Linked DNA regions of Caenorhabditis elegans. The protein of the gene in region 4 interacts with the protein of the main gene of each other region in a pairwise test. Each region holds a gene or a part of one and is shown on either strand. Other genes may lie near its edges. The genes, in order: drp-1, pycr-4, btb-10 and ech-8.

Region 1 (5,146 bases), 4.7 Mb from region 4:
AAACTCGGAGAACTTCTGAAGACATCTATTCGAGTCAACACGCAGAACAGTTTTGAATCTGGCCTCCAGTAAAGTCTCGACATGTTGATTCATTTCGATCTCCAGGTTCTTGTAAAGAGTGAGCATTTTTCGCGGCTCCAGCTCACATTTGTAAAGCGTAGCTTTCATTCTTGTAACGTAGCTGAAAATTGAAAATTAGAGCTTTTGGTTTGGTCAAAGTTTAAACAACTAAAAATGAAAAACACTTACAATTCGTATAGCTGCTCCGCCGTAAACACAGACTCATGTTCTTGTAGATATTGCTTGAAGAGGTCCAAATTCACGTCATCGAACAACTGCATATTACACGTATTTTCGTAAATGAACTCCCAAATGAGGAGCTCATCGTCGAATGACGGTTCTGACGGCTTATTCTTCTTTGCTCGCGTTGACATTTTTTGAACGCTGAAATATCGAAAATGAATTTTTTGGACAAAACAAAAAATGAATCCTAAAATTTTCAAAACCGTGCGGATGAAGCAAAAGCGCAATTGCCGCACGGTTCTATGGGCGTGGTCAATCTCAGCTGTTGGCGCAGATCGAGTGACACTCGAAATGCGCCAGCAGTGCTATTGGCGCATGTTGAGTGAACATTTTTTAAAGGGTCGGAAAAAAGATATTAAAAATAGTTCAACGAGAAAATCAACGATAAACACGAAATATTTTCAAGCATCATCAAAGAATTTCATATAAATCCACCTTTCTGTTTCCAATATTTTCAAAAGCCACAAAAAAAACTAGAATCTACAACAAACCGTGATTCTTTCAAGGAGCACACAATATTATCATGAAAAGAAAACATCAAAGGGAACGGAGCATAGAGATCATACAGAAACGGGGGAGTTACCGAACTAGAATTATCATCGAGGCGAAGAGAAGAAGAAAAATAGTTAAAATACAATAAATCGAATCAATCGTGAAAATAAAATTAGAATCGTCCTAATCTACATTGCAATAGTTAAAACAGCTGGAAATTATTTGATGGGAATATCACCAAACTTGTGTTTCTCTCACTTCGCTGATGATCACGCTGGCTTGTTGGAGGGCCTGAAAACAATAAATTGTGTCGAATCCAATCAAAAAGGAGACCGAATACCTTCATAGTTTCAAGAGTATCTCTTCTTCTCTGAGCCATGTCTTCAGTTTCAGCCAACAAATCGTCCATCTCGTCGGGTTTGTACAGCTGACGAACGAGCTCCGATTGCAAATTGTCCTGAAATTAAAGAAATTAATTTAAATTTTTAAATTTAAGCTTGCAACTCACTCTAACAAAATTGACCAGTAACGCCATAATAGCTTTCGGCACACTATCCTGAATATTCTTACGAACAATGATGAAATAGTTTCGAATAAGCCGTTCTGAAAAAATAAAAAAAAACCCAAATTAAAAACTGAAAACTAGGTCTCATACCGATAATAGCGACATCTCTTTGTTCACGACTTGTCAACTTTCTTCCTAGTTGCGTCTCTGGCACTTCTGGCAAAAAATTTGCTGATTGCTCTGAAAATATAGATACTGAATGACCACAAACTCTTTATTTTTCCACTGACTTTCTTGTGGGGACGTCTTGCTGCTGGCAGCGGCGTTGCCGAATAATCCAAGGAATCCATTGGAAGCACGTTGGTTCTGGGATTGCTGCTGTTGTTGTTGAAGAACAGCGTTCAAGTCGACACCATTAACTCCTGGTACCGGTTGTAGCTGCTGAAAATTGTTTTAATTTGACTGCTTAATACTAGGAATCCAATGAGGTTAAGCCCATGCAATATTAAAGCCCAGTCAGTCATCCGCACTTCCTGGCAGGAAGTTCCTGCCCCCACCTGTTCTCCATGAGCACTGACCGCTCTTTCTCCGGTTGATGCATGTCGATTTCTACTGCGACCATGCCGATCGTCGAGAAGAAGCTCCTCTTTCAAAAGTGTCACCAAATTGGCTTCTGTGAATTCTGGATGTTTTGTATTAATGTAAGCAAGTTCAATGGCTACAAGATTCTCGACAAGCTCATTGGTGGGCTTCAGCCTCTCTTTCAGAACTCCACTAACGACCTCATTGATTTTATCGTACAATCTTGGGAAACGAATCATCTCCTGTTGAGTAGTGAATCCGCAATGCTGAACCATTCGTTGCATTTCTTCGTGTACCAGCTCAACGCATCTCAACGATGGCTCCTCCAATCGTTGAATTTGTCGCTTGACAAGCAATTCAAATGAGACTTCTGGTACGAAAAGAGCTGGCCTTGGTCCTGTCGCGTTTCTAATCGCAGTCAAAATATCCAATTGTGTGAGGTTTTCCAATGGATTGACAGATTCCAAAGATCTTCCGAAGGTATCGTGGAAAATGTAGCATATACGAGCACCTCCGCATAGCTCAGTTGTTTCAATATTGCGGGCAGTTCCTTCGATAGTTGATGTATAAGCAGTTGCGAATCGAGTTATGATTTGAAGAAGTGTTCTGTTCTTATCTTCAACTGGTTCACCGAATGCAACAAGATCCGATTGGCATTGGGCGTTCATGATAGACACGCGGGCTTTCAGTGCAGGAAGACAGTTGCGAATATGGTGCATGAGAAGCTGAAATTAATTTCTAAATAATTTTTTATTTATTGAAATTCTTACCATATTCAATCTCTTTGCCAAATAAGGAGTTCCATTTCTGCTAGCTAATGTTGGATATTTCTTTTGCATAAAGCTTTGCTCATCTTTCACTGCATCCACGATCAGTTTGTTGTCGAGAATATTCTGTTGAGATCGATTAACGACTCCAATAATTCCCAACTTTACTGGAATCACTTTCCCCATTAATACGTCCATCGCATCAGTTCCTTGATCCATCAAATCCAATTTCGTGAGAACTGCGAGAGTTCTTTGTCCACCTGCGTCCACTTCTCTAGCTAACTTGATAGGCTCCGAAGTAGCGAAATCCTGGTTCGCTGGAGTTACAGCCAGAATGATAGAAGAAGGATTTGAAATGTAGAGAAGAATCATTTCACGGATTTGCTCTTCAATATTGACTGGTTGATCACCAACTGGGATCTTTGTGATGCCGGGAAGATCGACCAGGGAGAGGGAGACAACTCTGTGGGAATAAATTTTCAAACTGATTGGAAGAAGAGAGATTCCTTTATTCACTCCAGTTACACGATCAGTTTCATCTTCGATTTCTTTTCGCACGGCATCGAAGTCTGGAAAATTGTTTAAATTTCTCGCAATATTCAAATTACTAAATTCTCACCTGTGAAAACCTTAGAGCCAGTATGTTCGAACATTGCCCAATCATCTGTGAGAAGTGTTCCATTTGACCGTCTTCTTTTGGATTCATCATCGAGAGCAACGTGATTTAACTGAAGAATCAATGGCCTGCGAGTGACAATTCCAGTACCACGCGGCAGAAAATCCCGACCGACTAGATTTTCGAGCACTGAAGACTTTCCGGCCGACTGTGATCCGACGACTACAATCTGTGGAAGTTGAATTTGATCTTCTTTCCTGCCTAACGTTGCGAAAACATCCTGTAGTTTATTGACGACAGGAATGAGATTTTCCATCTGTAAAATTTAAAATTTTTGAATCGAAATGAGAGTATCATTTATATAAAGAGTTTTACGAGGAGAAGAGTAAAAATGACGAGGCAGTTGCGAAATGATGTTTGAAATGAGAAAGAACAACTGCCAGTGATCACAAAGTGAAAAACAATGCATTTGAACACACCAGTGATAACAAGTGATAAAATGTGCGCAAATAGAAATTCAGATAGTCTACTTGGCCTTCGATTGACTGTGAACGCCAACTTTTATATCATCTTTTCGATCCTGCCACTTACTCATTTTTCCCTGGGAAAATGTCAACCATGGGAGTTCCTATACAATTTTGCATCATTCTGCGTAGTTTGTTTCAAACAATGATACAAACAGTAACGATCTTTGAGATTTTTACGGAAAAATTGATAAAATTGAGGCAAAAGTTGACAAAACCGACGGGAAAATCTCTGATATCCGATATTTCCGCCGCGGCGCTGAACTCAAAATTTCGAGCACTCCGCAATAATCCTCACGTCAGATTGCAGACCGTGCACCCTATCCGACGACAAATCACGAGGAGTATTTTCTTTTCTTTTTCTTCTCGAATTTCTGCAATTTCTATTAAAATTCCGCCAGTTTTTTTTTGGAAAAATTGGCGGTATGACACCAAATGGACATCATTTTCGAACAGTAATTTATAATGCTGCGGCGGTTGGAAATTTGCAGAGAATTAAAGTAAGCAAAAAGCTCAAGTTAAAGAAAAGTTGTCAAAATAAATGAATTTCCAGGTTTTCACAATAAATTCAAGAAACGATCGACAATGGATAATTGATTGCTTCAATTCTGATCAAGACGGACGATATCCACTTGTGATTGCTGCAAGAAATGGACACGCAAATGTCGTCGAATATTTGGTGGGAAAAATGAAAATTAATTAATTAAATGAGAAGATTTTCAGCTAGAAATTGGAGCCGATCCATCTGTTCGTGGTGTTGTGGAATTTGACAACGAAAACATTCGTAAGTTTTTATTTCTGTTCTGAAAAGAAAATAAAACAATAGTTTTCAGAAGGAACACCTCCTTTGTGGGCTGCCTCCGCTGCTGGACACATTGAAGTGAAAAATATTTCATTATTTAATGCAATAATGTTTTATTTCGATTTCAGATCGTAAAGCTCTTGATCGAAAAGGCAAATGCAGATGTAAATCAAGCAACTAACACAAGAAGTACTCCATTAAGAGGTGCATGTTACGATGGACACTTGGATATTGGTAATTCCTTGAAGTCGAAGAAGCTTTTTTAAAAATAAGATTTTCAGTGAAATATTTACTCGAAAAAGGTGCAGATCCACATATACCGAATCGTCATGGTCATACGTGCCTGATGATTGCATCCTACAGAAATAAAGTATGATTTTGAAATTTTTAATTAACAAAATATGAGAAAAACTAAAATTTTGTAGGTTGGAATTGTGGAAGAGCTCCTAAAAACCGGAATCGATGTGAACAAGAAAACCGAGAGAGGAAATACGGCTCTTCATGACGCTGCAGAAAGTGGAAATGTGGAAGTTGTGAAAATTCTTCTGAAACACG
Region 2 (3,794 bases), 2.8 Mb from region 4:
TGATCGCTGGAGCATCAGCTGGATTTTGTCAAGTCGTAATCACCACACCAATGGAGCTATTGAAAATTCGAATGCAGCAGTCTTCTGATAAAGTAAAAGCTACCAAGCTGATCTGGAATCTGTTGACAAAGGATGGTGGTGTTCGTGCATTGTATAAAGGCCTTGGACCGACAATGGCACGAGATGTTTCGTTTTCAGCAATGTATTTCCCGCTTTTCGCCTATTTGGATGGCCTCGGTCCACGAAAGAAAGACGATTCAGGTTTGTCGAATTGTTTACTGAAACTTTAAATTTTCAAGTTCATATTTAAGGCGACGCAGTATTCTGGGCAAGCTTTGTATCAGGATTAACTGCTGGAGCAACTGCATCATTATCAGTGACTCCATTGGACGTTGTGAAAACAAGAATTCAAACTGGAGGATCCAACTACAACGGAATTTTCCACGCGTTTTATCGTATTCTCGCTGATGAAGGTGTAAAAGCTCTTTTTAAAGGAGCAATTTGCAGAATGATGGTAATGGCACCACTTTTCGGAATCGCTCAGACTGTCTACTATGTTGGATCGGCCGAAAAGATTCTCGGCTTGGAAAAAGGATCAAGAGTATAAATTTCCCCCCAATTCCCAAATTTTCACAATTAATTAGGGCTCATTTCTGGCCAGTCATTTGCAATGTTTAACGTTTGCGTCGGTTTCGCCTAGAGCATTTATTTTCTTTTTCAAAAAAAGATTTTTTTTTTAAATATCAACAACAACAAGTTATGTGTGAAAAGCATTACAAAATCTAACTTAATCACTTGGCCAGAGATTTTGCCATTTCATCGGCCTTGGTCGAGGCAGCTACCACAGCTTCCATAACAGCGTAACGGAATCCGTTCTTCTCAAGTGCCCGAACACCTTCAATCGTTGTACCGCCAGGGGAGCAAACCATATCTTTGAGGGATCCAAAGTGCTGAGTTTCAATATCAAATCCAGAGTTCGAATTGAGCACCATTTGAGCTGCTCCGAGTACTGCTTGAGCAGCTAATCTTTTAGCCTCTGCTCGTCCGAGCCCTTGTGCGACGGCTCCATCTGCCAGTGATTCGATGTACATAAATGTCCATGCAGGACTACTCCCTCCAATAGCCATTGCCGGGTTAAAGCATCTTTCTGGGATAAGTTCGACAGTTCCAACACACTCGGCGAACTCGCGTGCCAATTCGATGTGAGAATCTTGATTCATAATTTTTTCATTCTTTTCATAGCACATCGTCGAGGCGCCGGCTCCAATAGAACTTGCTACATTTGGCATCAAACGAACAATGGTAGTGTTTCCCGAAACGAATGGCAACTGGAAAAATGTTATGTACAGCAAATTATGATTTCTAAAATTATTTTATAACTGCTTATAGTAATCACCTTCGCGTTGAGAACTTTTAATGGAACTCCAGCCATTACAGAAATAATAAATTCTGGTCTTGAGTTTACAGGCCAGCTTGACACAACTTCTTCGAAAACTTGAGGTTTCACACAAATCACATAGATTGCCGTCGAATATCTTTCCAGCATTTCCAGTGTGTTTGTGAAAACGTTTTTATATCCTAGTTGCCTCCATTTCTCAGCCGATTTTTCCGTTTGAACGCCAATTACAATATTGCTTTTCGGTGTAAAGCCTAAAAATTAGAAAACAATTTAATTCAAATCAACGAGGAGAACAATTTTTTAACTCACCTTTATTCTGGCATCCTTTTATAATTGCAGCGGCCATATTTCCACCTCCGATGAACACGAATGGCACAGACTCTGAGGACCCGTTTGTCAATTCAGTATCGATAGTCATGGTTTTGACTGAAATCAATAATAATTGTTTTTGACACAACAAAAAGCAACATATTAAAAAAAAAAGAAGAAGACATGAGCAGAGGTTTGCCCGCTTAACGAGATTCTGTTTCTCAACTGCGTCTCTGTGCGTTTAACATATAACTGGGTTCTATTTTATGTCTCTTGTTAGACGTCTAGACGTCTAAGTCTCCATTTATATAAAAGTTACAATAAGATATATTATGGTACATGCTGGGATCATTTTAGTACCGAAATTGACATGAAAAACTAGTATTCTATAAAAATTTGTATCTTAAAACCGTGAAAGGCACAGAAAGTCACCTAGATGATTATTTTGTCATCATTCCAGAGGCCGTATAGATAATAAAATATATTTGTCATCGGTTCAGTTTTGTCATCCTGCTCTGGAAAATAATTCAAAACGTTCAAACCACGAACAAAACAGTAGGAACAGGTGAAACACAGAAAATAAACACTTCAAAATTTCTTTAAAAAATGTAAAATTATTTTATTTATGATAAAAACTTGAAACATCTGAGCAGATACGGTAGACATATTAAAGGCGCATGCTGAATATTGGAGATGGGTTTTGGGACGAAAAACTACGGTCTTTTTTCGCCTGCCCGCGCAAATTTTAGGCGCGAATTTCTCTATATTTACACGAATCTTAATTCTTTTGGATATCATTTTAATTTTCAGTTATTTTCTCGCCTCATCCTAATAAATCGTTTCAGACTATTTATTTTTGATAAATATAGTGAAATTTCTGAATTTAAAGAAGTTTTCCGGTCTAAAATTACGTTTAAAAAAGCTGTATAGTTAGGAACACGTAATTTCCACGTTTCGATCAATTTTTACTGAATGTGTTAATTGTTTTTCATTATTTAATTTTTGTTCAACACAGTTAAAGGTAAGGAAATGTATGAGATTTGAAACGCTTTTCGTGTTTAGTTATTGGTTTTTTGCTTCAAAATTCAACTATTTGGTTCAAAAAAGTCTTGTTTCTCTCACTCTAACACTTGGAAATTGCGCCCTGCTGACACTTATTTCGGCGGCGAAAAACATTTTTTGAAATGAAATTGTTCACTCATTTTTATAATCGTTCTTCTGTTAAATTTTTTAATTAGAGATACCAGTGTATTATAATGTCGTATTTGCAGAATGGGTCGCCTAGGCGAAGCAAAAGCTGTGGACTTGGAAGCGGAAACGTCGACTGTGGGCCTTTATGATGTGTGCACCGTTGGGCGAATCCTTCCCCGTAAGAAAATAAAACTATTATCTTTATGATTAATGTAATTAAATGTATGTTTCAGTGTTAAATGAGATGTCAATCGATAAGAAATCTCCGGCATGGAAGCTCAAACCGAAAAGTAACGAGCGATTTCTTGTTCTTGCGTCGTGCTCCGATCTGGCAGTCTTCAGTCTTGGCGAGAAAAGCGACTACTCGTTCAACACCGGACTTGGAGGTATGAGCTATTTCAGAGTCTCTGGAATGATTTCTCAACATTTTCAGGAGCCATCACTGATTTCGAAATCCTTGGAAGTTCTTCCTTCTTTGTTGGAGTCATTGAACATCGTCGTATTGTAATTCTCTCGCTGGATAAACAAGAAATTTACTTGAACGAGCCAGCTCCTCATGAAATTGACTTCGTTGTCTGTCACACTACTTCCAGTGTTTGCCAATTGATTTTCGGGAGCCGATCTGATAATTGGCATACTATCACATTGCCAGGAGACGTGGCTGCATCTAAGGAGACTAACCGTTTCGAAAATTGGCACAGAGATCAGATTCAGGAATTTTTCCACCAGGTAACGCTCATCACATTCATTTAAAGTTTCAAATTAATTTTAATACTCTCTTTTCAGGCAATGGGAAAAACGGTTTCAAAGTCTGTTGACATGTCGAAGGTCGCAGGTGACATTACTCTGATCTCCAATGGGCCACTTCAGACGTTCGCTTCAATTGATCAGCAAA
Region 3 (3,726 bases), on a different chromosome or scaffold from region 4:
GCGGTTACTTCCAGAGATGTGGCTGTCAGATGGACGAAAAAAAATGGGGCTCGTAAGGGTCCAGGAACCTTCAATTGGCATGGACAACTGACTGTTGTCAATCTCTTTTATGCCAAGTGGTATATGCTCTACATGGTTGGAGAGTAATTCTCCTTGCAATTGTTCCAATTTAAACTCATTTTATGGCGTCAGAAGAGCTCTTTTTATTTGTAAAATTAAATAATAAATGTTTATATTCTATGTAATAATTTTTTTACGGAAACAAGAGATGAGAGGGTTTCCTCATAACCAAGAAAATTTCAATTGTTTATAGCCAAACTGTGAAGCCCAGTCGTTTTTTTTTTGCCCATTTCGCTGTGTCTGGTTTTAAGAACTTGTTGGTTTTTCAGATCGGGGCTCAGTACACCGGGTGCTGAGCCTATTTTTTGAGCTGGTCGACTTGCTCGAGTTTGCAACTCATGATTGCCTTGTCAAAATGATCTATAAAATCATGTACCAATGCTTATTGAGAAGCTTAACCCTGCCGCTCACGTTCCCGTTTGCGCGCAATTATTATCGCCCTGTAAAAGTCATGTACGCCCAATTGAAGAACCTAATAATTCAAAAAAACATAACAGAATGATTTATTTCCAAGAATCAAATCAGGTCTTGAAGAAAAAATCAAGATAACTCAATGAGTCGATCCAAGATCTTGGCTTTTGTCGCATCCGATAACTGCGAGTAATCATCAGATCCTTTGAACTTCTTAGCCTGATCGAAGCTTTCCATCTTCTGGATTTCCATAGCCAATAGCTTTTGAAGTTCGTATTTGTCTGCCAGAAAAATCAACCGTTCATTTGGGAACTTGGTGTCTCGAATGATTTGATTTTCCACGTGGCGCATCACTGCTGGGATCTTGAAACGATTTCCCAGCTCGAGAAGGACTTCAGCGTTTTGATCTGAAAATTGAGATTAGTTGGTTGCTGGAAGGGATCAGGAATAACTCACGATTCGAGAAAGCCGCTTCAGGGTAGATAATACTCATGAGAAGTCCGAAATTCTCATAGGTCACGTTTTCGATGGGGATCCCGTTTTTCTCATCGAATTTCTCAGCAAATAGATCACAGAAATAGTCGGAGTGGTAGGAGAGGAACTGAAATTTTCAAGCTTAGCTTAGCAAGATTCCAAATTAAAACTTACAGCCTTGTTCACATGAAGCTTCTTCTCTCCGATTAAGAGCACCGCATCGTGCTTCCTGGACGGCTCGAACATTGTGTCATAAGACCTGACCTGAGGATTGAGGTCATGAGAAATCTGAGGTGGCTTGGCTGGGTAGCGATGGAGTTTTAGATCAAACGAAAACGACCAGCGGTATGCATTAATGTATTTTGGGACTGTCATTATACAGATTCCTCCTCGTTTGTCAAAGTTCGAATCAATAGGCTTCAGTTGATGCCCATCATACGACAATTGGATGAAACCAGTGATCTTCTTTATTTCTTGCTGATCCCAATCCAGCTTTATTTTCAGGTGAATCTTGTCAGTCTCGAATTCATCAGTTATCTCACTAAAAAAATACTGTTTCATCTGTCGTTCAATAACATTTTTCTTACCATTTTAATCCGTTCAAAGGACTGATATCAAAGAGGTGGTAACCTCTTAGGTAGTAATTTGGTTCGCTTTCAAATTTAATATTTTGAGTAACAATATTGTCCATTGTTTCGGTAAATTCTGGAAAGATGCAAGGATACAAGAATAGACAAAGAAAGCAGAAGAGAAAACAAAAAAGATGATTGTAGGGGCCCACAAAAATGTAGAGTGAGAGTAGCCTAGGCAATTTATGCGCGCACACGGTGTTGCAGATCGATACAAACTGTGCGCAGATGGGAAAGGTTGCTGGAAATCTTGGGAAGGTGGAAGGCTCTTTTCCCGCAACGAATCTATGTGTTCAAATCAATCTGCTGAATTTCTTATCGAACTGAGAATTCGCTCCGAGAAACCAGTCGTCCCTGAACAGTTTGGAGAAAACTGAAAAGTCAAAGGATCTACACGGGATGTAAATGTGCACCTCTTACTTTTGGTTTTTTGTTAATTTTTAACAGAACATGGTAGAAATCCTTTTCTGATGCACTTTAAATTATCTGTGATTATAGTTTTCTTTGGAAATTTTTAATTTTGTCAAGACTTTTTGATTTAGTACTAAATTTCTTTGATTTCTTTTTGGCTTTTCTAATCATATAGCAAGCTTTTGAAATAATTTTTCAAAATATATTTTTGGTGAATTTTCTCAAAAAAAATTTTCGCTTCCAATTTTGATGAAACTTAGAAAAATAAAATAAGATCATGTTATTTTCCATATCAAAAACAACATAAAAACTTACGATTCCTACTGAGAACTTTAAAATATTGAAGTAAAATTGGCGTTTTTCAGTTGAAAACAGTAGTTTTACATATTGAAACTGTTATATCTCAAAGAAAAAATATAATTTTTTTTTTGATAATATTACCAAAAATGTTCCCATTAATTTAACTTTCAAGAAATATATTTTAATTTTTTGTAGCTAATCAGGTTCTAAAGTTATGTCAATTTTCGCCAAAGGTACCCATTTACAACCCAGTCGGAGGCAGGGGTGTGCGGCAAATTTGCCGAATTTGCCGTTTGTCGAGCTCGGCAAATTTTGAGATTTTCCGCACACCCCTGATCGGAGCCAAGACCCTTTTGGTGGTTAATCCTACCCTAAAGTACCCAAATCAGTGTTGTTCCACATTTACCTCACATTCATCACATCGAATTATGTCGAATCCCCTGAATGCTTTTGGTATTTGAAACAAGCTAAACGGCAGATGGCCTGAGCCACCTGGCTAATACCTCACCTCCCCCTAATTGCTTCCCGAGCCTCGTAGTGTGCTCATTTTGCTCCGTAAACTGCCATGAATGCCGGTGAGCCCCTTCCTTTTCCTATACTCCGACTACCGGAAAAATCAAGGATAAATGTGCTTCGCAGTATGGAAATTGTGCATTTGTGAGTTTATGTCAAATTTGATTTTTTTTTTTTTTGAAAAAAAAAATTTAGCAAGCTTTCAGGTCACGTTTTTCAGTTGACACATTTTTCCGTTATATTTTTTCAGGAAAATATGAGATTTAACAATTTCTCCAACTTATTAAAACCTTATTCACTTCCAGACTCGCCTTCTCCTTATGCTCCGACGCCACCAAAGAAATCGTGAAATCACTCCACCTGAAAGTCGACTCGAGTGGGTTCAATTTTGCAAAAGGTTTCAATTTCAAGATGAAATTTGGGAATAAACGAGTATGGTTGAAGTTCTACAATAAATGCCGATGCTTTGTGCCAAGTTTTGACATTCCTCAGTTTGTAAAAATATCAATGCACGGTCACCATGTGAATGTGTTCACCCGGAAAACCATGAGATCTTGGCTCGAATTCTTGATGGATGTGCTGGCGATTCAGAGGATCGATTTTAGTCTAAAAACTCCCTTGGACTCTGGGAATTTAGACATTGAAGGTCTAACAAGGGTTCTGGAGGGGATTGACGGCTTTTAGCTGCTGATTTTTCATCGGCAACCCCAAGATTTGATGATCTGACTTCGAAGCTTTTCTGGGCAAACTTACCATCTGCGAATCAAGTTCTAATTCGAAACTGTCTGTACAAAGACTCACAGGATTATCAGAAAGTTTTCATTCAGAACCTCGACAGACTAGTTCTTAAGCCAACTCTTCTATTCAC
Region 4 (4,970 bases):
AGACTTGCAGAAAATCCAGAATTTGCAAAGAAGGTATTTCAATTTATTGCTAGACACAGAGAATTTTAAAACAAATCTAATTCGTTTCTAATTATAATTAGTCAGACAGTTTTTCGGCACCCGTGCGATGAAGGATGTATTTGACATGTTTTTGTATGACTACTCGTATTATGGGGTATTGTAGTTACAAACAGTACATTTTGTTGTGACTACTTATGTAGTTGCCGTAATCCAACATTTGTTTCTCAAGCTCATGCTTTGCACAAAATTGAAAATCACGATCAGTATATATTTATAGTTTCTGTATGCTAACAAACATTTTCTTTGTAGAAAGTTACATACGATCAGTTAATATGCTTTTAGTCTTTCTTTACCTCCTCAAAAGCAACAATAATTTAAGATTCGTCATTTCCATGCATTGGCTCCAGTTGCAACAGTATCCCATATCGGTGGTCTATTTGGATTGTTTGGGACAAAGTTTCTAACTTATGCAGAAATCTTGCTCGGTCGACTTCCATACTCTCCACTGTCAATTCCGCGAACTGTTCAAAAAATGATAAGTTACATGTGCAGCAGATTCTTTATGCAAAATATTTGTACATTGGACATCGGTTTCATTGATGGAAATGAGAAAATGTTCAATCAATCAAGAGTTGGTGTATATCTTTGTCATACACCTGCAGCCACTTCTGTAAAAGATTTGCAACACTGGATTCAACTTGTCAAATCACAGACTGTTTCTAAGTTTGATTATGGAACTGATGGAAATATCATTGAATACGGGCAACCTACTCCTCCGGAATATGATTTGACACAGATCAACACACCAACTTATCTCTATTGGAGTCGTGACGACATTTTGGCTGATACTCAAGATATTCGGTTAATCAATTATATTAGTTTTGATGTAACTAAATGAATGATTTGTAGAGACTCGATTCTGTCAAAAATGAATAAAACAATCGCTGGATCACTGGAACTTCCACACTACAGTCATATGGATTTTGTATTCGGTACGCATGCTGCATTTGATTTATATCCGGTAAGTCTGAAATCAAATTTCCTACTGAATAATATCTTTTCATTAACGTTAGACCGCGCATCTGTAATATTTACACTTTGTCAAATTTTGGTAAAACCTTTTGATTTGGTTTTGATCAGGCCTTGGTAAAGACTTCATGTGTGCGTTCTGGAAGGTTAAAAAAAATGAAAGTTGGTGGGTCAGACTTAGGTCACCTCATATTTGAAATCTGTAACACGTTCCGAGCAAAGTTTGACCAATTTCTGGCCAAGGTGTATTCAAAATGTGGTCACTCTTTCTAGACATTGAACAGAAAACATTTGAAAAGGAACGGCTTCTGCAGAAATTCTCTCTAACATAAATTAATAGAGTTCCAAAATATTTCAATTCCTTATTTTCCCACTTTTTCGTTTTTGAGCAATGGTCCAAATTTTCCAAAATGCCGGGTTTGGTTGTTCTTAATGTTATATTCTTATTTTTGAAATTACATAATAAGGAGTTATTTAAAAACAAATTTATTCCAGAAAATCATCGAAACTATCCAAGATGACTACAACAAATATCGAATCACTCGGATGCACAAATTGAAGAAACATTTATGATTTTTCATCGATTTTTTTTCAAAAATAAATAAAACCGTGTTTTATTGTTGTTTTAATGGCCAAAATGTACCTATAGGCTACAATGTTCTTCTTATCAATTGATCGCTAACGTGGGACACATCTGGCATATATCAATGCAATTTCTTTAGATCTTTTAATTCGTTACAATTGGTTTTATTTTGAAATTTAGATTTTTGAAATTCAGAAAAATGGATAAAGTGCCACAAGCAGTGAGGGACTATTTGATGGAGGCTCATCAATTGGCGGCTCAGGTAACTTTGAAAACTAAAATAATAAAGTTTTTTGAATGAGAAATTAGTTATTTTCCGCTTTTCCGTATCCGTGGGCACTCTGTAGATTTGTGAATTGTTTGTTTTTGGTATTTTTCAGTGAGGGAAGACCACTTTTCGGCAGAATTTTGAATTGAGCAATGGTAGAAATCACTAAAACGATATCGTTTATAGTATATAGAGAACAGAAAATAGCTGAAGTTACAGATTTCGATTTCATTGATAATATAAAATATTAGTTCATCCGGCAAACATCGGAATAATATTTTTTTAAAGTATTTTTCAAATATCGAAGAGCACGACTATATGATTCAATGGCAAAATTCTAAGTTGTGGTGAAAAATAATAATAAACAAGAAAATCCCTTGATTAGTCAGTTGCCAAAATTTTTGAAGAACTTGCTCGAGAAAAACGCGCATTTTTACACTTTGCAAAGTTTTTCAGCATTCAGCTTTAACAATATCTGAAAATCACAATTTTTTTACATCAGAATATGAAAATTGATCATTTCAGTGGTCTCTTCCAAATGATCGCGGTGACTACATAAATTCGAAATCAATTCCAATCAAATCAGTGGCTGTAATTGGAGGTGGAACCATGGGAAGAGGAATTGCAATCGCATTTTGTTTATCAGGATTTGAGACGTATCTTGTCGAAGTTAACAATAAGGTAGCCATAAAGTTTAAAAATAATATCAATTCAGTTAAACTTGTTTGCAGGCTGCCGAATTCTGTAAAAATGAATTGGAAATCACTTACAAAAGGGAAAAAGCATTTCGAAGACTGAACGATTCAAAAGTTGAAAAATTGAGAAAAAATCTACAGATAACTACAGATTTTCAAAAGCTAAATAATTGTGATTTGGTGAGTTTTTGTTTTTATTTTCAAAAGAAAAAAAAAGAAAAATTTCAGATTGTAGAAGCCGTTTTTGAAGATATGAAACTGAAAAAGGAACTTTTCACTAAACTTGATAAAATTTGCAAACCATCATGTATTTTTGGAACCAACACATCAAGTTTAGATTTGAATGAGGTACGCTTTAAGTTAACTATTCCAAAAGAACATGTTCACTTTCAGATGTCATCAGTACTTAGAGATCCAACAAAAGTAGTTGGAATTCATTTTTTCAATCCGGCAAATTTGATTCGAATGGTTGAAGTGATCTACGGATCGAAAACTTCCTCCAAAGCAGTTGCTACAGCTTTTGAAGCATGTAGATCTATCAAAAAGCTACCAGTTCTTGTGGGAAACTGTCCAGCATTTGTATTTAACCGGCTACTTGGAGTTTATCTGAATCAGAGTCAAAAGTTGATGTATGAATACGGATATCTTCCTCATCAAATTGATAAAATCATTACAAACTTTGGATTCCTAATGGGTCCTTTAACAGTAGCTGATATGAATGGATTAGATGTAATGGAAAAGTTGAAAAAGGAGAATGGATGGCCAGCAAGTGATTTTGAAAAGGAAGTTTGGAGACAAAAGAGATACGGTAGAAAAACAAGTACGTCTTTAAATAAATTGTGAAATGAACTGAGAAACGGATAATTTCAATTTCTTTGGAGTATCACCAGCGGCAAATAGTTATACATAGGTTAAAAAACAAATACCTTCGCTCCGGCTATAAGAAAAGTTTGAAATATTTGACAAGCTGAAGTCTGAAATTTTTAAAATATTTTTTCAGTGGTAATGATAAGTGCCAATCAAAATTTTGAACGTTCCAGAAGGAAAACCGGAAATTATTGTTTTCAATTTATTTTTTCAAAATGAAGATTTTCAAAACTGTCACGAAAAGCCCAATATTTTTTACCAATTTAGGTGTAATTTTCAGATAAGGGATACTACAAATATGATCCAAATACTCACAAAAAGGAGAATGATATAGAAATGGAGCAGCTCATTCGAAAATTTTCTTCAGCTGCAAGTCCAAATATACAAATTTTGAACGATCAGGTACTCACTTTCTAATTTCATTCAAATTCAACCGAAAACTTACCAGGATGCCGTCAATTTCCTCTTGTATCCCATGGTCAACGAAGGTCTTTTGTGCATTGAGGAAGGAATCATCCATCATGAAAGTTTGATCGATATCATGTTGTAAGTAAAACTTAATTTCAAAAAAAAATTAAAATTATGAGCACAATTGTTTCAGCATTCTCGGGTTTGGATGGCCTGTTGCTACTGGTGGTCCGATGAGATTTGGATGGCTTCAAGGAATTGAAAAAGTTGCGAGCACAATTATTCTCTGGAATTCTTTAGAACCAAATGATAGAACATACAAAGTTGCGGCCACGTTGCAAAATGTGGACAGGAAGAATTTTGCAGCGAAATTATAAATTTTGTAGTTCGTTACCATGTTCAAAGAGATGATTATTGTAAAAACATAAATAAATACCCTGTATACAATTGATCTACTATGTACAAGAAATGACATGCTGGGGATTATAAATTTTGTCGAAAGTTTGATGCAAATCAATCTGCAAGACCAATTGCCCATCTCTAATTCTGAAAATTAAAATGTCTTCTGTATTTTTTTGGATAAACCCCGTGAGGTGCACAAATAATAATTATAAAAATAAAAGTACGGTACATTTAGCGAAAAACGGATCTTGAGACATTCAATTGTACACTTATCATTATTATCAGTAACATGGATTTTGTGGGCGTTTTTCGTATTTCAACCGGACAAGCACTGTCATATGAAATCAACCCTTACTCTTAGACATTTGAGCTTGAAAATTGATAAGAAAGTGGAAGTAAATGTTGCCTTACAGAATCACAAAAATCAACATAAAGACTGCCTTGCTGAAATGACGTTTTGTATTAAAAAATATTACTGATTGTGTTGGGATTAAAAATTTGATATCAAAACGAAAAATACTTGGTAAATAGGTAGAACACACATTTTTTCAAGAAAAAAGTGTTTCCTCTGGTGCTCGATATGACCGACAATAAACTTCAAATTTTTAGCTGTACTCTGTAGGGCACAATAATTATATTTAAAAATTTCAGTTCAAGCCAACTTCTGTACAAAATCCACCTTTAAAAAATTTCAGAC

The links.
Region 1: the proteins of ech-8 (region 4) and drp-1 interact in a two-hybrid assay, tested with the Caenorhabditis elegans proteins (one large-scale study listed by BioGRID).
Region 2: the proteins of ech-8 (region 4) and pycr-4 interact in a two-hybrid assay, tested with the Caenorhabditis elegans proteins (one large-scale study listed by BioGRID).
Region 3: the proteins of ech-8 (region 4) and btb-10 interact in a two-hybrid assay, tested with the Caenorhabditis elegans proteins (one large-scale study listed by BioGRID).

What each region holds. Positions count from the first base shown.
Region 1 is NC_003282.8:5,536,925-5,542,070, reverse strand, and holds drp-1 (Dynamin-1-like protein drp-1), read right to left. Parts: upstream 3,584-5,146; 5' UTR 3,582-3,583; coding exon 3,269-3,581; intron 3,219-3,268; coding exon 2,653-3,218; intron 2,608-2,652; coding exon 1,858-2,607; intron 1,742-1,857; coding exon 1,591-1,741; intron 1,541-1,590; coding exon 1,451-1,540; intron 1,399-1,450; coding exon 1,304-1,398; intron 1,253-1,303; coding exon 1,136-1,252; intron 1,087-1,135; coding exon 1,030-1,086; 3' UTR 706-1,029; downstream 1-705. Other genes in the region: tebp-2 (SPK domain-containing protein), read right to left, coding at 1-181, 250-434; Sex-determining protein fem-1, read left to right, coding at 4,215-4,289, 4,343-4,468, 4,513-4,573, 4,623-4,669, 4,720-4,825, 4,873-4,961, 5,017-5,146. UniProt on the Caenorhabditis elegans protein: Functions in mitochondrial division. Functions in peroxisomal division. Mediates membrane fission, perhaps mainly of the mitochondrial outer membrane. Mitochondrial fission may be promoted by recruitment to mitochondrial membranes via the egl-1/ced-9 complex.
Region 2 is NC_003282.8:7,475,473-7,479,266, forward strand, and holds pycr-4 (Putative pyrroline-5-carboxylate reductase 4), read right to left. Parts: upstream 1,826-3,794; 5' UTR 1,818-1,825; coding exon 1,709-1,817; intron 1,651-1,708; coding exon 1,397-1,650; intron 1,329-1,396; coding exon 792-1,328; 3' UTR 691-791; downstream 1-690. Other genes in the region: slc-25A18.2 (SLC (SoLute Carrier) homolog), read left to right, coding at 1-261, 312-607; Kinetochore-associated protein rod-1, read left to right, coding at 2,981-3,077, 3,133-3,285, 3,333-3,628, 3,686-3,794.
Region 3 is NC_003280.10:1,059,053-1,062,778, forward strand, and holds btb-10 (BTB domain-containing protein), read right to left. Parts: upstream 1,751-3,726; 5' UTR 1,697-1,750; coding exon 1,593-1,696; intron 1,547-1,592; coding exon 1,180-1,546; intron 1,133-1,179; coding exon 988-1,132; intron 939-987; coding exon 661-938; 3' UTR 610-660; downstream 1-609.
Region 4 is NC_003282.8:10,235,977-10,240,946, reverse strand, and holds ech-8 (Enoyl-CoA Hydratase), read left to right. Parts: upstream 1-1,770; 5' UTR 1,771-1,832; coding exon 1,833-1,895; intron 1,896-2,426; coding exon 2,427-2,582; intron 2,583-2,632; coding exon 2,633-2,776; intron 2,777-2,824; coding exon 2,825-2,944; intron 2,945-2,989; coding exon 2,990-3,416; intron 3,417-3,743; coding exon 3,744-3,865; intron 3,866-3,911; coding exon 3,912-4,009; intron 4,010-4,064; coding exon 4,065-4,248; 3' UTR 4,249-4,321; downstream 4,322-4,970. Other genes in the region: lipl-7 (Lipase), read left to right, coding at 1-33, 401-882, 931-1,042, 1,546-1,623.